4 linked regions of the Drosophila melanogaster genome follow. The protein of the gene in region 2 purifies or fractionates together with the protein of the main gene of each other region. This does not show direct contact. Each region holds a gene or a part of one and is shown on either strand. Other genes may lie near its edges.

Region 1 (5,618 bases), on a different chromosome or scaffold from region 2:
GTAGTATTTTTTCATTTCTGTTTTCGCTGTACGTGCGGATTGATTCATATTGTTTCATTACGTGAGCTATTGCAATATTGTACACACTGGGCCGAGGACATAGCCAATCGGATTTTTCTCATGAAACCATTAAACCGAGTTTAATGTTTATTTGATTTACGCGTAAATAGATGCCGCCTGCAATGTAGAGCTGCTGATGGCCCCTTTTATACGGGGGCCGCGGCCAATGAATCTACAGACCCAAAAAAGAACAAAAAAAAACCAAGGAAGGCAGAGACAAAAACAAATTGCGCCGTAGGTGAAATGAAAAGCGCCAAGAAGCAACAGCGAATACGTCAAATATCTCTAATCTCCAATACCAGTGCACGCTAAACGTGTGTGCTGAACAAAAAATTCTGGTGGCCTCCAACAAAAACAACAGCAACAAGAAACATCCGCTGAGGAATTGACAACTGATACGTAGAATTATGAACGTAGAGAGCCAACTGAAGACACCGCCAACGCACATTCGAAATCTGGTCAAGCACGTGAACAAGCGAAATTTTAATGAGAGCAGCGAGCAAATAAATCAGGTAGGTGCCCAAGTTATTCTACCAAAGTTTCCATGAACCATTTCCAATTCATTTTGTCAACAATAACAACAACATTTTGTAGGGGGCGGGGGTTTAGTGTTGCCAAACCGACAACATATCGCACCTGGCCAACCAGAGTTGCCAATTGTTCGCACTCACGAATGGGCTATTGCCATTTCACTCGCTCGTGCATTTTTGCCGACGCCATTACAGTTTTTTGGTAAAGGCAGCTGAAAAAATTTCTCTGCACGGCGTTGCGCGTTTTGTGAGCGTTTTGTTTAAGCTAAAAGTTTTATAGAATGTGTAAAACCAGGCCAATTGTGTGCGCTTAGCCACAAACGTGTTTCGTGAGTTGATGGCAGTGTGAATTTTGCAGCGTAGTAGTGCGAAATCGAATTGCGAAATTCGAATTGGGAAGCCCAAGCCAAGCGCAGGGCTTTTCGGCCCCGAAACTTCTGTTTTTTCATTGCCAAACGAGAGAAACCAAATTGAATAGTAAGTTCGTGGGACAAATTGCGTGGGAATATCAATTGCGGCCGCTTTCTTTTCGCTAGAGTTGCAATATGTCGCACTTTTTCCTGTGACCCCCTTCCTTTCGCGCACCGTCATGCTCTCTTCTCTCCTTACCCATGTAACGTTTCGCCAACGTGTGCGAGCGAGAGGGCGCGTGTGTAATTTGTTGTGGAGCAGCTGCGACGGCGGGGCCAAAGCTGTTGTCTCGCTCCCCCGTTCGGAGTGAGGCCTTGATTCCGGACTCCGAGCTCCGGATCAAATATTTCAACAGTTTTGGATCCGTAGGGAGGGAGGGGGATATCTAGCCTCCTAGAAAAGTTTTGCCATTCAAATTAGTATCATAACAAATACTTGGCTTAGAATGGCACCATTTGCCCAACAATCCCCTAAAAAGTAATCGTTTGTGGGACAAACTATGCTACAGATCCCGTTTTCTTGACAGTAAATGGCATATTCCTCAAAAATTAAAAAAAATGATAAAAAAAAATGATAACAAAACAGAGTCATATACTTCAGTATTTTGAAATTCTCAACAATCTATATCTGCCATTTAAAAAGCCTGATAAGTTTTCAAGTTATTCGAACTCAGTAGGATTACCAAATTTTCACTGATATTCAATGTTGGAATGAAGTACTAGGATAACCCAACGGAATTTATAGTAAGAAAGGTCTAGGAATTTGTTGGATTCCATGGAGAAATTATCGGATAGAAAATACATTAACTAACTTAACGATAGCCCAATTTGAGATATAGTCTTCCATTTAGTTATAGCATTCAAGATAATCTCAGAAACCTGTGAGCCCAACAATGGTGCACCTAAACTGGAATTCCCAATGATAAAATTCATGTTTTAACCCTCTGGTTGCGCTTTTAAAAAGCCAATTGGGTAAAGTTTTTAAGCGGGCAAGAAATAATGACTTAATGGATTTACTTTTGAAAACAGTTGCCTGGAGTTAGAAATAATCCCTCCAAAATGTTACTTTACATCTTGCCCTGTATCCGTAAACACATATCCAATTGTACAGAGAAAAGTTGAGACACTCACAGAACATAATAGAACCTGTCAAAATTTCCAAGTTTGCGATGAAAATCACATAAAAAAAAATCCCGGTCACCGCAGAATCTGAGGAATCGTTTGAAACATACACTGTCCCTTATACAGTGATATGTGTCCCAGATTGCGGGCAGTCGCTGTCAAGGCACTTATATTGGCTTCCAAACCCTACGCAATGCAGCTCTTTGATTCTAAACCATACATTACTGATAGCATTTACGACATCTTGCAGTTCGTTAAAGAGCACGGCCTGGAAGCGGATCGCAGCAGCCTGCGCCACCTGTTCTCCGTGATCAACTTCAGCGATCTCGTGCCATCAGTTACGGTCCAGCTGCAGGCGAAGCTCCTGGGCATCCAGTTGGAGCGTCAGCTTCACAGTTCATCGTTTGTGTCCAACATCTGCTACGCTTTTGACCAGTTCTTCGCCAGCAACCAGAAGGTAAGTTGAGTTTACAATGCCCACAATGTGTTGATTACTTATGGATACTCATTCCTAAGCAGTCCCTGAAGCCTGTTGCGGTAGCGGATCTCGTTGGCCAGGTCGCCCGACTGACCGGCATCAACAAGGTTTGTGAGTGCGTCTTTGCCTTGGCCTTGACCCACTCCTCGTACACAGAACTCAAACATTCTGCCAGGAACAACCTAAAAGGTAGCCTCAGCGAACTTATAGACTCTTACTTGGGTAATAAAGGCACCGGCCCAGCCGACAGCGGTCTCCGGGAGATCTCCTTCGATCTACTGCAGTATTTGTTGTGCTGCCTTAGCGAGTACGTACAACCGCAGGTGGAAGCACAGTTTTTGATCAAGCTTCGTGAGGAGTTTCCGCGCCAGGCGGTACCGCTGGTTCTAGCGCCGTTCCTTTACGGCTCGACGACGGCGACGATTGCGGGAGCAGGTGCCAGCGAAACGGATGCGGAGGCCGAAGCGACGACTAATAGCAACAGCTCCAGTTTCGAAGCAGATGCTTTGAACGAGGTGGGAATCGAGGATATTTATGACCATTTAAGCGAGATAATATTCACCAACCAGGTGCGTAAGACACTCATTGAAAAAGACAATTCGCTAATTGAATGTTGTGTTGCAGGGCAAAAATAATATTATGGACACATCTTGGATTAATCTAATCCTTGAAATCGGTTATGAATTTACATCGAGCGTTGAAGAGTGTAAGAATCATTTGTGTTCCCGCGAGCGAGAACGCGCTGAGCTCCAGTCCAAAGATGTCGCCAAGATCGTGGGTCTTATGTGCCGACGGCACTCCTCCCTGCTCGATTGTAATGTGAATCTACCGACGCCGGCGAACTTCTGGCCTGGTCAGGGACAGGGCGGTGGCAGCAACAGCAGTGGCTCTTCGCAGACACAAATCACTCCGCAGCAACAGAACCCGGGCAGCAGTAACAACAACGATGGCAGCGATGGCAATTCGTCCAGTGATAAGAAGGACAAGAAGGAGACGACGGAGGCCACGCAAACTTGGAAGCCAGATGTCTTTGTGCAGGCGCTCAAGGAGGTGGTGCCTCAGCTCAACTGGAAGGACGTGTGCATGGGTAATAGCTAGATAATTGCTTCGCAATCGCCAATCTATAGGAATATCATTCTTAATTTTTAGAACTTGATCATCCCGAGTTCGTGCTGAAGGATCGCATCGGTTTGGAGCTTTTGCTCACCATCCTTCGGCTGGCCACTGGCTCTAACATATTTCCACATCCAGAATGCATTTACCGTCACTGGGCAAACACGGAAGGTCAGCTGTCGCTTATCGCGACAATGCTGAAGAACCCGGATCTCTTTTCCTTCGCCGACTTTGTATTTAGCCAGCCAGCGTTGGATGTGCTTAAGACGGCTCCGGATGCGGACAATAAGGAGATCTCGTCCTGGAAGTCGCTTCACCTGGTGGAGGTGCTGCTCTCCATTGCGGACAAGGGATACTATACGCAGGTCCATGAGCTATTCAAGTTCCCAGCGCAGAACTGTCCCGATGTGCTATTTTTGGCCTTATTGAACACAAGTCCGCCTATGACGCCACTGCGTCAGGATCTGTTTAACCAACTGATACCAACGTTCCTTGGCAACCATCCCAACTCGAACGTGATCTTGGCCAGCGCCTGGAGCTCGAACAACTTCCAACTTCGTTCCAATATCATGAATGCTATGTCCGAGTGGTATCTCCGAGGCAATGAGTTCGATCAGGTGAAACTGTCGCGCATCCTGGATCTTGCCCAGGATTTAAAAGCGCTATCAGCGCTGCTCAACGCCCGTTCATTTTTATTCATTATCGACCTGGCTTGCCTTGCCTCTCGGCGCGAGTACCTGAAGCTGGAAAAGTGGCTTACCGATAAAATTCGCGAACATGGAGAGCCTTTTATGCAGGCTATAATCAAGGTTCTGCACCGCCGCTGCCCGCAGGTTATCAACGCAAAAGTGCCAGAGGATCAGCTGCCTCCCAAGCAGGCGCAGCTTTTGCCCGAGACAGTTACCACCATGATCAACTGTCTGCAAACGTGCATCAATAACTGCATGCAGCCGGAGATGGTCGAAGTCATCATGCAAATGACCGCGAACGTGGCGATTATGGCTAACAAGGCGCGTGCCCAACAGCAGCAGCAGCCAGGATTGGTTCCGCCGCCTCCACCAACAATTCTGCGCGGCCATCGTGGTATGGATCTGCCTGGAGGCATAGTCCCTCCGCCACCGCAGCAACCGTTCTCCGGAAACCTCAACGCGCAGATGTTTGGACCAGGAATGGATCCGCTAACGAATATGTCCAACAACTTAGCCGGCCTCAACCTCAGCGGCCCGAACGGAGCATTTAATTTTGGAAACATGCTAAGTAAGTGGCATTCATAGGCAATGAGTGCATAATCTATCACAGATGCCTCTTAATCCTATCTAACGAAATTCTACGTGCAATTTCAGCTTCTCCATCGCGTCTGATGACTCCGGGAGCCAATCCCTATCCGCTGAACCTCATGCAGATGCCGCAGGCTCCGCCACCACCCAACGTAGGAAACCTAGGCCGCATGCTGCCAGGGGGTCCACAACAGCAGACTCCAACGCCGACTCCAACGGCCCCCAATCCAAACAACCCTGTGATGGCCGATCTCCAGATACCTGTGTCAAAGGAAGTTGAAGACGAGGTCAACTCATACTTTCAGCGCATCTACAACCACCAGCCGAATCCAACGCTGTCCATCGATGAAGTGCTGGACATTTTGCAAAGATTTAAAGAGTCAAGTAACCGGCGCGAGCAGGAAGTCTTTTTGTGCATGCTGCGCAATCTGTTCGAGGAATATCGCTTTTTCTGTCAATACCCAGAGAAAGAGCTACAGATTACTGCGCAGCTATTTGGTGGCATTATTGATCGTAACCTGGTGCCCACTTTTGTTGCACTGGGCCTTTCTCTGCGCTGTGTCTTGGATGCCCTCCGCAAGCCCGATGGATCTAAGCTTTACTATTTCGGTGTGACGGCACTGGACAG
Region 2 (5,510 bases):
ATGTGAAGTGTCAAGAGCCAGGTGGACATAGCCATATCCGTACGCCCGTTTCTCACTAAATCTTTCTAAAAGCCTTTCTGTTGCCGATACTATGCATACTACATGTATGGCAGAAAGACCTCGACAAAGGGGAACATACATACATATCTTCTTTTTTGTTAGAAAGTGTTTTATCTCGGTATTGAACAGTTTTCGACCATATGCCTTGGAAAAGTCAAATTTTTTCTGTTCGTGATCATAAATAGATATTATTCAGTATAAGCATATAAAAATCGGCTTGCCGATTTTTGTTTATTTCCTATATTATACCCATTACTTGTAAAGTAAAATCGTATATGTATTAGATTCGCTGCAATGTATGTAATTGGTAGAAGAAACCGTCTCCGATCATAGAAAGTATATGTATGTAATAGGAACGCATCGATCCCATTTTATACTCACATGTTTCCAAATGTTTACACGCTTGTTCTAACGACCACGAACCGCCCAAAAACTGCCAAAAACAATTTTAACCAAATACCTACAAATCGTTCAAAACTGTAACGCCCATATCAATTTAAACACACATAAACCCTATGTAGTATATACATACATATGTATGTGTCTAGATTAGAAAGAAACACCCATCCGAGTTGATACTTCCGTCTGCCCCTATGAATGTTGTAATGTCGGGAAGCACTCCTCTGGCTACCAAAAATTAGTAATGTAAATAAAGGAGAGGTGGGCTAATTTGATTCTAAGGTTATATATTTCTTTTTTATTGCATTTGTTTTCGGTTTGGACATCATATAGTGTCCAAATCCCGAAGTTCATTAACTAGTCTCGGAAACCTTTTTGTTCACCTGTTATGTTCTTTTTTAATTTTTAATAACCCCCTTACTTTACGAGTGAAGAGTATAAAAGAATTATAAATACTTTTTCAAGAATTCAGGTTAATATAATTATTCGATTTTATGATAGAATCTAACGTTCCGCTAACCATTTAATACAGCAAACCATATTTATTTTCAGATCAAAAATGACAACACACGATGAGGCTCAGTCATACTTCTCACGTCTTAATTCAATTTCCGAAAAAATTACCTGCGATCTCAATAAAGTTAAATCTACATACAACCAAGACGCTTGGCTTAAATTGACTTTAAACGAACAGGAAAAAATATTGAATAACCAATTAATAGATCCTGTTATATTTTCTAAGTACTGTCATAAGACTAAAGAAAACTATGCGGCACAGGATCCGTACGAAAATACTGAAGTTAGTAAAAATGATTACCGTAAATTTTGTTTCAGAGACATTGTATATTTATATAACGGCCAAGATTTACACACATATAATTATCAAAACGTTGGTTTAAAAATATTACGCGATGAAAACACCGGAGATTTTCAAGATGAACATTCGTTTCCATTTTCTTATCGAACCAAATCACAAATTAACATAGTATTAAAAGAATTTGATGATATCTGTCTTGTTGAAACTCCATTAGGCGTAAAAAAGGCCATTCATTTAAAATTGAAGACAAAAGATTCAACCAATAAAAAAATACCAATTCTCCACCTTAATTCTAATGATAAAACCGGCGTTAACACAACGGAAAGAAAGATTTCCATTCATGAAAACTTCTCAAAAACCCAAACTGTTTATATTGATGAATGTATTGAATCTAATGAGAAAATGCAACTGCTCGTTAAATGTGGATCGAAAAACAGTGTGTTAAACGACTTGTCTGATTATGAAAACGAATTTAAAGATGCACGTCAAGACGAAAATACAAAACTGTTATCCCCTGAACTAAAAATGCCTAAGGGTTTCGATTTTCTTAGCAATTGGTAAAACCTATTTAAATCTCATAGATAGTCGAAGGAGAGCCGATATTTTAGAACATAATTTCATTTGATTTCAAGGCAAAACACCAAAACATACACATTAATATTAATCGGTCGTAAGTCCAAACTTTATACATTACATTATTAAGGATTCTTTTTTAACATAGACTTAATAAAATAAGTTATGAATTTAATGGATTGCCCAAACCTGTTTCAATTCTCACTTCAATAAGGCATTCAAGCTTTAAAATTTATTAATGCATATGTTATCTCACTGTATTGTTTTAATCCCTTAAATTTCATTTGAATTGTTAGAAATGGTCGAGAGTTATATGAGTTGGAACTTGTTTGAAACAGCTCTGTTTTGAATTAATTTAAATTATATCAGCTAATTTATTTTAATCAATTAATCCTTCTGTTGTGTACCCTCTATCTGACCTCTTCGATGTGAACGGGTCACAGCACTTATTTTAGGCAGTTGTGTAAACTGGGTATTACCTAAGATTGATTAATATCGATTAGTTTAAGAAAATATCGGACATCTACCTAGAAGAGTCTGTCGTGATCCAGGCGAAGTGCGAGTGAGAGCATCGTATAGTTACTTTTTATTTAAATTGCGTGTGTTAAAATGAATTAGCACGAGTAGTGAATGTTTTTGTGTGCGTAATCTTTCGAAAACAAGCGCTTTGTCATTAAAACGAAAAGATTGCCAACAGCCCACCACGGATAGAATGTACGGAGTAATGCAGCTAAATTGAAGTAGAATAATTTTAATGTATGGTTGAAGACGTACTCAGTACGATTAAAAGCGAAACTTTCTGACATAACCTAAGTGTGCATAACCTAAATGGTCGCAAAAACCCAAGCGTTTAGTTTCGGACATACGCATGTGTGTATCAGTGCAGAATAAATTCTGTTCGCTTGTGTATCGTGCATTGGAAAAGTCTATATGTACATATGTTCCAGTCAAGAGTTGCCACGCTTTAAATCTTTTACATAATGACAAAGCAATAGGGAATTTAAATGTGTCGCATTTGCTTTGAGGTTTTCCACACCAACAGTTAAAATTTAGTAATAGTGTAATTAAAAATAAAGTAAGCATTTTGCATATTTGCATTAGTCTATACTCCACATACCTTTCCATTCCGTCTTTAAATTTTGACTAGGTGGCAATATTGCAAGCAGGAATATCTGTATGGGTTTATTTAATACACTAGTAACTGCCGTCCCCATCGTCGAACGTGCGCAGAAATTTATATTCAATTACATCGAATTATAATTATTGTTGAGTCTAATCAGTTTTCGCATTCAAGATTGTTATTAATCCCAGTTTATTTTGTGAAATATGAAAAACTATAATTGATTGTCGAATGTGTGTATGTTTTACAACACATACACACTTTGTGAACTCGTCAAAGTGGCTTGACATGCATACACACAAAAATGCACATATATTTACATATATAGAGAAAATCAACTTCTCGTTCAGTAAAGGCAAAAATTGTTGCAAATATTCGGTGAACTATTAGCGTATACACAAGTGTTCAATTTTACTATAAACGCATATTCTGGCAATAGATATTAATTTCTAATTTCTGTTTGGTAGGTTTTAGTTAGATCTCCATTTTGTGACGTTCTCAGCTTTTCGCTTGTATTTCTACACATAGGGTACAAGACACGCGAATATACTAAGTATTGTACAATGACTTCTCTACATATGCACTAGAGTACTGAAAATGTATTCATACAAATGTATATACATGTATATATCTATCGCATTAGTCTTTTTGCCAATACTTGCATATATACAGGTTGTGTAAATACATTTTAAATTCTAAGTTTATTTGAGCATAATTGCAAGTGCGAAATTAGGAAAGGGAGACATAAAATAGGGTGCTTCCGTCAATGTCTGCCTGCCCAGAGTTGACAAATTCATTTTACTTGTGTACATATGCATATGTATATTTATATACCATTACAGAGTTGTGAATTTAATTGTTTTATTTTTTGACATGCATTCGTTTTTCACACAGGAATTTGTCGTTAATGTGGGTGGGGATTCTGCCGGTTGGGCAGCAGACCTGGTAGGTCAGCGATCGCGATGCATATTTCATTTTTAAAATTCTTTATGTACATACTAAGTATACATGTTTAACTCCTGTCAAATGACTCCCACTCTTATATACCCATATGTATGTCCTCAGACTTTTTGAATCGATTATAAAGCTTAAATTTTTATGATTTCTCCTTCAGAATTTTAACTGATGTTATGCAGTTAAAAATCTGTAAAGAAGATATTGATTAAGCCTACGAAAAGCTGATCAGAATTAAAAAATTTTTTAAGAACAACGAACAATAGAAAAACTAAAAACAAACGTGCACAACGTAGGGGTCACTAGAATCTGCATGCTTATTCTCAACTGTCTAGCTTTTATGTCGAAAACGCTTCCGCTATGTAACATACTTTAGAACAAATCTGGTATACCATATACCATTTTACTCTATTAATAATGTGTATAAAGCATAAACGTATCACGGTGATTAAGTTTATTTATCCTGTGTATATACAAGAAAATAAAAAAAGAACTTAGCAATTTGATTTAGAATGAATATTTTGTAATAAAAATAATAAATGTTTTCTATATTTCTACAGAACACGGAAAGAACAAGGATTCAGATTAAGTCATTCCTTTTCGATTAAATTAAATAACTTTTAAAAATTGCCATAAATGCTTATGATAATGAAGTTAAAGATCAAGTGGATGTTGGAATAGTAAGGAATGCTACTTTTGAAGCTGACAATCAGTTAGAACACTTGAGCACTATGCGTGAAGCCCTTTTTTCCCAAGATGGCTGGGGCTGTCAGCATGTTAACCAGGATACTAATTGGGAAGTTCCCAGTTCGCCAGAACCAGCCAATAAGGATGCACCCGGTCCACCAATGTGGAAGCCAAGCATTAACAATGGTACTGATCTTTGGGAGTCCAATTTGAGAAACGGAGGTCAGCCGGCCGCACAGCAAGTTCCAAAGCCGTCGTGGGGTCATACACCATCCTCTAACTTAGGTGGAACATGGGGTGAGGACGACGATGGCGCCGATAGTAGTAGTGTGTGGACTGGAGGAGCTGTTAGCAACGCGGGATCCGGAGCTGCAGTGGGAGTAAACCAAGCCGGAGTTAATGTCGGTCCAGGCGGTGTTGTTTCGTCTGGCGGACCTCAGTGGGGACAAGGTGTCGTTGGCGTCGGACTTGGATCAACTGGTAGGCCTAATATCTATTAGAATTAATGAAGTTAAGCGCAAACGATCAGATAAAGGCTCTAGCTTTTCCCTCAAAATGTGACTAACAATACATGATAAAAACATAAAGTGTAGTAATTGAAGTTGGAGCCTTATCTGGGGAATTACCTATTCTAAGTTCTACAGAAACTTTTATTTCATTAACCCGAAATACTTTTATATTTCTGCTGTTATTTAAGGAGGTAACGGGTCAAGCAATATAACTGGATCGTCTGGAGTCGCAACAGGTAGTAGCGGAAACTCCAGCAACGCTGGTAACGGTTGGGGAGACCCTCGTGAAATACGCCCTTTGGGAGTTGGTGGCTCCATGGATATTCGAAATGTTGAACATCGCGGCGGTAACGGTTCTGGAGCAACTTCGAGCGATCCACGAGACATTCGC
Region 3 (5,587 bases), on a different chromosome or scaffold from region 2:
ATCAGATACATTAACGAAACAATACAGATTAACGGTATCGATTACGACGGCACGGTTGACACGTTCCCTGAACAGACGGATTTTGATCTTCCCCCCATGCGAAAAGTAACTAGGAATACCACTATTACGGTACTAAGCCTAGAAAAACTGCACCTCGAAGCCACCCAAACAATGGATAAAATCCTGGCCGTCCATCACAATACTATACAGCACACCTGGACACTCTACACTCTGCTCGGATTGGTAACGTTCCTAGCAGTCATCTTATGGCTGCACCGACGAACGAAACACATCGTCCACATCCACGAGGATCATCACGTACCAATCTACGCGTCATCCATACCTTCGCTATGGCCGTCACTTCGAACTGGGGGGGGAGGAGTTACCACCCCACCCCCTAAACCCCCACGCCTCTAAACAAATCATCGGACACTCAACCGGGAAGACGGCAACTGGAACACCGCATCCGGCCGAATGCTGACATTCCGGCCGAATGCTGACATTACACAAAAGTCGCACTGCAACATTGTCCCCAGCTAGCCAGCCACATGCCGAGTCGGCATGTTCATTATGCTTACAATTAAGAACCTATGTACTTATGTATAAGACGAAAACGGAGGACTCGAGTAGCCACTCTCTGACAATAAACTTCATACTGATTTTGAACTTCAAGAAAGTCAGTCGTATTCTTTATTGGAAATCTTCACACTACAACTATCTGCTGAAACTTAAAAACCTTCATACATTTACACATCATATCTTCACAAAAGGCTCCACCCTCGATCACGGACTTAACTCCCGCCCTCGCTCCCCCTCGCACTCTTTCAATGTTTTCAAGGCGAATAATGCAAGAGCGCCCCAGCTAGACGTCTCGCTCTCGCACAGCTGTGTCTTGCTAGGGTGGAGAGAGGGAGAGAGGTGTTTTACTCTTACAGCTGAGCTGCCACGATTTGTTTGTATACAGAATGAGGCGCACACACACACGCGCACTTGCTGTTTTTCTTCTTTCGCTTTTAAAGCTCTTACTTCCTTTTTTTGATTCTAGTTTACAAGGGCTTATAGTTCAAGCCGCTGTAAATAATCCAAAAACTCACCTGGTACATGGCCGTCTTGGGCAAATCCAGGCAGACGGCACAGCACAGGGCATTGGAGATGCGGTGGGCCAGCTTTTCGTGCATTCCCGAGGCGGCTGCGGCACTGGAAAGCAAGCTGCTGCCGCTGCTGCTGGTGGCACCACCGCCCCCTCCGTCCAACAACTGTTTCTTGGCCGGCGGTTCTCCGCTGCCCTGCGTGTCCAGCGGCACGCCCACCACATTGCCGCCGCCCACCGACGAGGAGGACGACGATGTGGAAGAGGAAGAGGCCGAGGAGGCGGAGCTGGTCGTGGCCACCGCCTGGTTGTCGCCCAGGAGCGGTAGGTTCGAGGACGACGGCGGCTGTTGGACCGCCGAACTGGAGGATTCCACCGACATGATTGGAAATTTTCTTGGAATAATGTTTGTTGTGTTTTTCTTTGCCACTCGCTTCGTACACAAACTCCCACACACACGACCACTAAACTACTACACACACACAAGCAATACCCAGTTTGCTCTCTCTCTCTTTCGCTCGCACACTAAGTATGGCACTTTCTTTCAATTGCCACCTTTCCCCGCTGTCCGTGTCGTGTCGTTCTCTTCTGTGTTCTTCCGTTCTGTTCTGTTTGCAAGCTTTTTGTCCGCCGACACGTCCGCTCGCCAAAAAATTTGTTGTCTTTCTAGAGAGTGTTGTGCGGTGTGACCAAATCTTATATTAGGCAAAATACTAGTATAACGTATCGATGTTATTGGCAAAGCCTATCGATGTTTTTCTATTGTCTGTGTTTCTCCAGCCCTGGTTGATCGTTAGCAGGGACACCATCCCCTTTACAAAGTAATAAAATAACAAATATTATTAAATTAACCATTTCAAAATAAAATAGCATTAAAATAATATAGCAAAATCTGCCTTCATATATATAATTTTACAAGTATATTATTGAAAACGAATCCATTCGTGTTTAATGTGCTGCCCTTATATCCGGCAGTACGGAACTCGTCACTCGCGAGATGCGGTCACACTGCTTGCGGCAAACGGAAAACATGTAAGAAATTAAATATTGTGATTTTGTCTTTAAAATGTACAAAAGTTTGACAAAACACAAACGGCAGGTTCTTTATGAAGTCACCTCTCGCAAAGTGAACTATGACTGGTCAGTGGAGGTACGGAAAACGTGGATTAAAGAGCGAAAAATCGCAGTTTTCTCAGCAGACATTTTTGTATCACTTCGCTGTGCGCTGTGTGTTTGGCATTTTTTGTGTTTGTGTGTGTGTGTGCAACAGCGGCATCAATTTGAAAAATAACAAAAACAAATCGTTGGCGTGTTGAACAAAAAACTATACGTATTTGCTATCTGGCTTGCGTTATAAGAACCATTTGGACAAATTGCGTCTTAAAAATTTGGTGACCAAGATGGCTTCAATTTCATTTTCGGTGGTGAATTAAAAACTTTAATGAAAATAAAAACTTAATGAATTGACTTTTAATTCACGTGCAATTATTATGAAAATTTTTGAAAATTAAAATAAAAATATTTCCAAAAACGTTGTAACAAAACTACACTTATAAATTGGCTTTTGGCTTGCTTAGTGAACTTAGTTAATTATTTCCAGCTGTTCCCACTCAAAAAACAAATCGTATACATATGTGTTCTTATTTCCTTTGCTCCTGCTTTTTCTCTTCCCCTTCTTTTCGTTCCCTTCCCCTTTGCGTCCTCTTCCCCTTTTCCTAGCCAGCTGTTTGTCGCGTTCCACAAATATGGCTGGAGTGTGGATCGCGTTTGGAGCCCAGGCTCCCACATTTCTCTATGTGGAACGCAACCTGTGGCCAGCTGTTGGGTCCTGTTGAACTCCCCCCAGCCAAAAACTTACATATGTATATGTATTTATTTTGTGTATATATGCATGTGTGTATAACAACGCCAATTGCTAGGGTTTCTGCAAAACGTCCTGGCCACTTGAAGGTGAAGTGTTACAATACCATAAAGGGGTTTCGCCATTTTTAAAAGTTATTTTATTACATTATATTCAATAATGGAACTTCAGTAGCGTGTCAAAGGATTTCTCTTTGAAAGAATACGTATTTCATATCCAGCATTTATCAGCTGAAAAACATGAGGGACTTTATACAATCTGTTAAATTTCTTTGCATAAAATGATATATATGTTAATTAAAATTATTAACAATAGCTAAAGTCCATGTAACCCCTTGAGCGCGGATGTTTTCCCAACACTCCTCGAATGGAATCCACATCCACTTTGTTGCACACACAGCTGGCAGTTGTTGTTTTTATCCGACCTCCTGTGCACACACACACACAGACGGACGTACATGTATACAACACTCGGGGGTCGTTTGTGGACTCCATTTGGCTTGGCTGTTGGATCTTCTTTGCGTTTTCTTCATTCGTGCAGCGCCAATCGCGCGGTGTGTGTGTTGCGTTTTTCTTATTTGCAAAATCGTTGGAAAATGGTAATGAAAATGTATACAATATAGCAACAGCAGCTCCTTTCAAGGAAATATCCTCATTAAAGTAATTACGGTACTGAAAGCAATTCAAAAGCTAACAATGAAACAGGCAATTAACTACACAATATGTTGGCTTAGGTTCAGTGTGTATGTATTTTGGATGGTGTTAAATATAAAACTCTAAAAATATGAGTAACCAAGTGCGAAATGAAAAAAAGTGTGGAAAACGTAAGCAAATATGCGCGCAATTGTGTCTGTATATGTGTAGGAAAAAGCGTCCTCGTACACCCACACAGACTCACTTTGGAAAATTTAATGAAATCCAAGCTATACCGCCCTCTCACTCCCACTCACTGTTGCGTTTCGGGATTTCATTTTGTCGCCCCGTTTTGCAAAAACAAACAACTGTTTTTCGCTTACCGTTACTTATTTTAATTCAATGTTCTTCTCTTTCTCGCTTTTTACAGTCGACGCGCCTCAATTGTTAATCATTTGCCCGAAAATGCATTTCAACTGCAAGAAACTTACGTGAAAAAGTGAAAGAAAAAAATATTTTCGAAACGTACAATGTGAAAATGTGTTATTTGAAACTTAGCAGTTAAGCGCGGATTGTATGTATTATTTAAATTTTTGTTTCAATATTTTCTACAAAATTATTAAAAAGAACTACAAAAAAATCGAAAACAAAACGAAAAAACCAAGAAAAAGTTTTTAACTCAGTGCACATTAAAACGAAAACAAACGCAAAAACAAAGCGTAACGAAACGAGAAGGACCACGAAAAGAAAGAGAGCGCACGAGGAATTGGCGAAGGCGGGAGCGAAAGAGAAAAATGTCAACGTTCTTGAACAATTTCTTCCCGGCAGGTAAGCAAAAACAAAGCCAGAAAAGCAAAGGAAATCAAACACAAGCAAAGACAGGGAACGTAAGAGCAGAACCACAGCTGGTGGCAGGAGCGTATTGGAGAGGGGTTGGCGGGGTGAAATGACCCCCCCATCAAACAAGTTGTTCATATACATAGTTATTCTATGATTGTAATAATAAAATTGGTATGTTTATGAGCTTAACTCAGTGATTAATCATAGATCAGCTTTCTTATATTGATCGGTTAGTACGTTATTTTATCTGCCCCTTTTTAAATCCTTCGCACGCCTCTGGCTGGGTGGCATTTAATTGAAAGTCACCTTTGGCATATTTCATAAGCGTTCTCACCGGGGTCATCCTGTAATTCAATTCTGCGCCTCTCTTGTTTTTTCTCTCCACTGGCGGCATGTAAATTGAATTTTCCTACCGAAGCGCATATTGTGATTATTGGCAATTACATGGACGTGACCGAGGAACAAAGGAGGCGAAGGAGATAAGTAGGCAGAGAATGCGAGAGTGAGAGAGAGAGGGATAGGGACGGGATGGAGTAGCGGCCTAGAACAGAGAATCTTGGCATAATCAATCTGCCCCAAAACAATCTATACACTTCCCTTTAATTACGTACATTCCTCGCTGCAATACCATCGATTATCGTTTTGTTATTCCTGGAAACGCTCAGATTCCCATTTACTGCTCCTTGCAACCCCTCTGGGATCAGGAACAAGTTCCACACACTCTGCATTCTCCTCATGCATTTTCTTTGTCCTGCGAAAGAGATGGTCATAGAGAGGCCGAGACAGGGAAACTCATACAGGTACGGCAGGAAAAACCACTTCCTCGCTTCCCTGCCCTTTGCCAAAACCAGAGCCAAAACAATGAGACCAGCACAAAGGCTGCTTTCCAACGGGCACTGAAGCTTGGGATACTCTCTTTAGGGTGACTTTGTACAGTGTAACATTAACATATTATCCCATTATACCATAAATATTTGATCGTCGAAAGGATATTGTACAGGATGTCCTAGGACATTCAGGGTGTTTTTCACAATCATTCTTTACCAAGTAGATTCTGTTTCACATTTCTCAATAAAAATAATTTGCACGAATAATAAAAAGCGGTAGCAATACCAATTTGGGATCGAAGGATTAAGCTAGATGGCTTTAAGCCATCTTAGCCAA
Region 4 (5,257 bases), on a different chromosome or scaffold from region 2:
AGAAAAACCAAAAAGGGTGCAGTGAAGTATTCACACCAGAAAAACCGATCCTTCGAGGGCTAAAAAGGTGATGGGGTTGGGGAATGAAATAAATGCGTGCCACACTCACCGTAGACTTTCCCAATGATGCCCACGGTGGAGGTCATCTGGAGATCCGGAAAAGTCAGCGGCAGCGTGTGCGGATGGAGCTGAGCTGGCCCACCGGGAGCCAGCTCACGCTCCGTGGACATTTTAGTCGGTGTCGGCGTCAGTTTGAGGCGGCGTCGCTGCTCCTGAAAAATCAAGTAAATCGTGATGATAAATCAATAATCTAGATATCTATTTCAATTCTAATTTCAGGGAATTCCTCTTCCTGCTCTCCACACCCAAAGTGGCAGCTACGAATCCCAAGTGCGTGGTCAAGCCAGAAATCGTCTGCGATCGCCAGCCGGCCAACATCAAGTTTGCCCTGATTGATTCAGCGCAAGGTAAGAATACCTAAACTGGGACAGCTGAAATATCTAACTAAAAGGAACCAAAATACATATGAAATATGTATTGAAAAATTGGTTTCCTTTTAGCGTGGGCAACTAAGTTAACCCTTTTGAAACTGCAACATTCAAAGAGCAAACACTTATTGATATTATATCATTCACAGAACAAGCCCAAGTCAAGGAGATCCGCTTCAACAGCGATAACCTAAACACACTAGAGCTGCTGCAGCTGTGCAACAAGCACGTGTCCAGCTTGGCACCGCGCGAGGAGATCACCAACAAGGTCCTGACCAAGGCGGAGAAACAGAAACTAGCAGGAGGCGCCGGCGGCGGAAAGAAGGCAACCAAGAAGAAGTAACCATCAGGATGGTGAGGAAGCACAAAGGAACACTGGCGGTGATCGAGAAGATCTACCAGGATATACCCGCATTCTCCGACATCTTCACCGAGGAGAGCTTCTACATGTTCGCCTTCTGTTTCGTGTGCGCCACCATTCTGGTGGCCTTCATTCTCTCCCGGTTCATCACCATCAAGCCCGTCGATTTCTAAGCCAATTGTATTGTTCAATTCCGCACACGTACTTTTCAAAATATATATACGCTCTAACATGTAACAAACACTCCGCACTGTATTGTCTTTTTGGCCCGACTGTGCAAAAGGGCAGCGCTCGATTCGATTCGGTCAGCCTGTCGTTTGTTTCATTTTTTTTTCGCCATTCGAAACCAGTTTTTCGGTCCCTGGCAAACCGGAAAATCATCTGCTCCTGCTGCTGCTGCAGCGGCTGCTGTTTGCTGCGCTTGCTGATGTCAGCGGATCGGAGAGCCGCCTGCCGTCCCAAAGCTTATAATCACAATGGGGCGGGAGGAGCCAATGGTAATTGGACCGCAGGAAGTCGACCAAATGGGCCATGCAAAGTGGACGGTGGACGTGGCTGGGGTGGACCACTACAGACTTGTTCATGAATTGTGGCATTAATTTGTTACTGCTCCAAGTGAATGATCATCTGCATTCTTGTAATGACAACAAGGATGCAACAGGCAGTGGAGAAAGCTTCTCTGTTGCCAAGACAGCTGTTGAGATGAATTGAAGTCTTATTCTAATGGGGGAGCAAGGAAGAAAGTGCACTGTGCAGTTCAAGCTTTGAGCTAAAGTTTTGAAATGGCGCGCTCTAAATGTGTGAATATGTACGTATTTGCGACGAAATCGATGGCTGCAACTGGCAACAATCTGTTGGAGTGTGGCAGCTGCAAAAATGGTTGGTGAAAGTTGCCCCAAAAAGCTGCGGCACCCTGTGATTAATAGAATTCTGTTCAGAGTGCCCCCAAGTTCAATGTCAGGCTGCAAGCTTTCTCCCCGCCTGTTCGCCAGCCGTTTTGAAGGAGTCACGTCGTAAAAACTTTCACCACCCACTTTTAAATTTTGAAGTTGCGAACGAGGTATTATAGCTTCGATCATAAGATTGCAAATTGGAGCTTGCGCATTAATAACATAGCAAATTTAAGTTTTTGAAACCGATAAGTTTTTTATACTTATAAAACCTTTTTTTAATATGTCGCTAGAAACGTTAAAAAGCTTTGTTTAATTATAGCATAAGTCCTTACAAATTGGTTTTAAATTACTGGTTTTTGTTATAAGTTAGTAACTCATATAAATTTTAACTCCCCAATGTTTTGATAAGATTTTAATCGGTTTAGGATTGGATCATATAATCCTATCGCAATAACTGTATAAAAGGGTATTATTAGTTTGTTAAAAGTTCAAGAGCATGTAAACCTGTCGACACGAACTTCTTCGTCGATTCGTGACGTAATTCGCGAGGGACGTGGATGGCGGGGATATTAACGAACGAAAGTTCTATTGGAAGCTAAGGATGTGACCTTTCTACCAAAACATAAACACTGTCTGTACGGTCGTCCCTCTCGCACCCCCGCGCTCACACGCTTGGCGCTCTTGAAAATTTCCCAAAGCATATGCTCAGGCGCCATTAGTGTTTTGGTTTCCTGTATTTTTGTTTTTTTTTTTTTTTTATTTTGGGGCACTTCCATTTTACTTGCAGCTCCTGCAGCTGTTCTGGAAGCCTCCATTTGCCGGCAAATTGAAAGATTCATAATTTTGTACTTACCTTATCGCAAAATTGCAGCTGACTTTGGTGTGTGTGTGCGCTTTTATCAGCTTTATCAGCGGCAAATCAATCGTTTTTTTTGGTGAATTCCGTTTAATGGAGGGGAACTCATTAAGGAGTTGAGTGGGGTTTGCGTCTCGACTGGATTTAAACCGTTGCGGACGTTACTTTTCCAGCGCTAATTGGAAGAAACGAGAAAGATAAGTGCAGGAAATGGAAATGGAATTGGTTAAAACGCAGTTTGTGCGGCTGCTGTTGTTGTTAGTGTTGCCAGATCGTTGCGCCGGAGATATGCATGAAATTGCGAGTCCGGGGAGCTTTTTGTTTACTTTGCTATTTGACAACACACACTCTTAAGCAGCTCCTATTTTATTTAGTTTTATTTTTTGCAAGCTTCCAGGCCTGTTTAACAGCGCGCGTGTGTGTGCGTGTGAGTCAAAGGTTGTCGGTGTGCGTTAGGCACTCGACTCTCTCTCTCTCTGTCTCACTGCCCTCTCTCTTCGCGCTTTCTGTGTTTGCTTTGATTTTTGTTTTTGCCGCGGCTTTTAACTTTTTTATGACAACTACTTTGGAGGGAAAAGCTTTCCCCACAGCTCCGCGAAGCAGTCATGCAAAAAAAAAACATACAGGCTGCCACTAGACACACACACCTTCTCACGTCCGCCAAAAGCACCAACACACAAACACACACAGGCACAGAGATTGCTGCAAAATGAAAGCACCAACAACAACAGATACAAAAACATCCAGCCCGCAACGCAAAAATTGGCGAAAAAATATGGCAATTACTGCAGATCTGGATATATCCGGGTTTGATTCGCCTGGCGGAGATCGCTTGAGATCGTTATGTATGAGAATTGAGAGTCAGCTTCGGAAAATTGCGAACGCGCGAGTTTTGCACAAACACAACTTATTTGCTGGCCGTTTTGGAATTGAATAAAATAAATATTGTTGCGTGTGCCTGTGTGTGTATATATCTGTGTGAGACGGCTCTCGCTGAGAGAGCGCGCAATTCGCGCCAGAAAGGGACGACCAGTGTGTTGCGATGAGAGAGCGGGGCAGCGAGCTTTTGTTAGGGGGACACCAACAAAATGACCTTGTCGGGATTAATATTACCGTTACTTCCATATATCCCCCCATTATTAACTTCAAAATTTAAAATAAATTGTACACGTTAGACTTTGTTTTTTTAAATTAAATTAGGTAAGCCAAAAACCCAAGTATAATGAGTATAATGATGCATTCTGAAAAGAGCTGGACGAGTACTTACCAAAACGCGTATCCTTTTATTAAAGTAGTAATATTTTAAATATAAATTAATAAGCCGTTTTGATGTATATCAAACACACAATTAGATAGATAACTACCGATTAACTCCCATTTGAATTTATTTAGCATCCAAAAATCACTCAGCACATGAAAAAATTTGCTTTCGGATTCCATATCAATGACTACCAAGCCGCACACGTAAGCTACTTTTGCTTCTCCTCCTGTTTTTCGGTAGCGGGATCTGTGTTCTCATCGCGGGCCACTGAAGTTGGGGTTTCGGGATCGCTGGCCTTCTTCTCGCTGGCGGAGGGTTTGCCACCCATGGTGGCACCGGGGGGCAGACTCTTCTCCAGAGCACGCACAAAATCCTCTAGATTGCCAGAGAAGGCGGCGGCCACTGCTTCGTTGGACAACTCGAATTGCTTGATCACAGGTCCCAGCTGGGCCGATTGCAGGGCACTGGAGAACTGGGCCAGAGCCTGCTGGAACTGCGGGGAGGTGATATTGTCCTTGATCTGCTGCTTGCGATCATCGTCCACATCCTCCGACTCGGGCAGGTGCACGATCAGCGTCTTGACATGCTCCGGATCGGCAATTATCTGATTGATGGCATCGGCGCCGGGTAGGGCCGTCGATAGGTCAATATTCAGGGATCGTCCTGCGCCATGTTCGGGGGAGAGATTGGATAAGTAGGCTTGGAATGGATTGGCATAGGCTCCGGTCGATTTTGACGCCGTTGTGGTCGATGTGGTTGAGTTCTTACCGGGGGCATCCGCATCAACGGAGGAGCCGGCACCTTCGCCGACCTGCGAGTTCACATTGCTGCTGCTGCGGCTGCTGCCCGATTTCGATGGAGCGCTCGGAGTGCGCGGCACACTGACGTTTTCGGGCGTCTGCAAGGCCGATGCCCCACCGCCACCCGATGAGGAGGTGTTGCGCGACGAGGGCGTCCGGGAGCTGCGGAGAATATAGAAAGGAAAATATTGAAAAAGGGGGTGAACTCAAGTTCTGGCTTCATTCCTTCGATTACATGCTTATAAACAATAAAAACGATACCCTGTAAGTTAAGAAGCTATCTACTTGACTAGTTCTTGGACACTATGGCTGCAAGGGTTTAAATGCTCACTTCATTTGGCCCAGCAGCGAGCTGAGACCACCCATCTGGCCAACGCCGCCGAAGAGCTGCATCAGCTGCTGCTGCGACATGTTGTTGAGCATGTACTGGAGGTCGCCGTCGTTGCTGCCGCCGCCGCCGCGCTGGTGGGCGGATGGAGGGTTGTTCAGCAGCTCGTTGATGCGGCGGCACTGCTCGTCGTCCTTGTCCGTCTTGGGCTCCTGCATCCAGAAGAACATGCGGCGTGTCGATGACTTGAACTTAAGCACATAGACACGG

What was found.
Region 1: the proteins of gw (region 2) and Not1 purify together in Drosophila melanogaster (affinity purification with western blotting, with the first as the bait; 2 studies listed by BioGRID). This does not show direct contact.
Region 3: the proteins of gw (region 2) and PAN3 purify together in Drosophila melanogaster (affinity purification with western blotting, with the first as the bait; 2 studies listed by BioGRID). This does not show direct contact.
Region 4: the proteins of gw (region 2) and AGO1 purify together in Drosophila melanogaster (affinity purification with western blotting; 17 studies listed by BioGRID, with this or other methods). This does not show direct contact.

The regions. Positions count from the first base shown.
Region 1 is NT_033778.4:9,573,139-9,578,756, reverse strand, and holds the start of Not1 (Not1), read left to right. Parts: upstream 1-2,061; 5' UTR 2,062-2,252; coding exon 2,253-2,579; intron 2,580-2,638; coding exon 2,639-3,169; intron 3,170-3,224; coding exon 3,225-3,687; intron 3,688-3,749; coding exon 3,750-4,970; intron 4,971-5,056; coding exon 5,057-5,618.
Region 2 is NC_004353.4:657,482-662,991, reverse strand, and holds the start of gw (gawky), read left to right. Parts: upstream 1-2,383; 5' UTR 2,384-2,563; intron 2,564-3,008; exon of another isoform or gene 3,009-3,432; intron 3,433-4,483; 5' UTR 4,484-4,654; coding exon 4,655-5,090; intron 5,091-5,307; coding exon 5,308-5,510. Other genes in the region: CG46466 (uncharacterized protein), read left to right, coding at 1,019-1,837. UniProt on the Drosophila melanogaster protein: Required for gene silencing mediated by micro-RNAs (miRNAs). Silences both polyadenylated and deadenylated mRNAs. Required for miRNA-mediated translational repression and mRNA decay. Not required for miRNA target recognition.
Region 3 is NT_037436.4:3,069,068-3,074,654, forward strand, and holds the start of PAN3 (Poly(A) specific ribonuclease subunit PAN3), read left to right. Parts: upstream 1-2,065; 5' UTR 2,066-2,240; intron 2,241-3,479; exon of another isoform or gene 3,480-3,693; intron 3,694-4,013; 5' UTR 4,014-4,377; coding exon of another isoform or gene 4,378-4,411; intron 4,412-5,587. Other genes in the region: CG32486 (uncharacterized protein), read right to left, coding at 1,095-1,472. UniProt on the Drosophila melanogaster protein: Regulatory subunit of the poly(A)-nuclease (PAN) deadenylation complex, one of two cytoplasmic mRNA deadenylases involved in general and miRNA-mediated mRNA turnover.
Region 4 is NT_033778.4:13,954,578-13,959,834, forward strand, and holds the start of AGO1 (Argonaute-1), read right to left. Parts: upstream 3,513-5,257; 5' UTR 3,385-3,512; intron 2,774-3,384; 5' UTR 2,596-2,773; intron 1,104-2,595; exon of another isoform or gene 1,023-1,103; coding exon of another isoform or gene 840-1,022; exon of another isoform or gene 832-839; coding exon of another isoform or gene 638-831; intron 468-637; coding exon of another isoform or gene 340-467; intron 285-339; exon of another isoform or gene 273-284; 5' UTR 231-272; coding exon 110-230; exon of another isoform or gene 1-109. Other genes in the region: mRpL53 (mitochondrial ribosomal protein L53), read left to right, coding at 340-467, 638-831; CG33155 (uncharacterized protein), read left to right, coding at 840-1,022; Rpn13 (regulatory particle non-ATPase 13), read right to left, coding at 4,068-4,821, 4,991-5,257.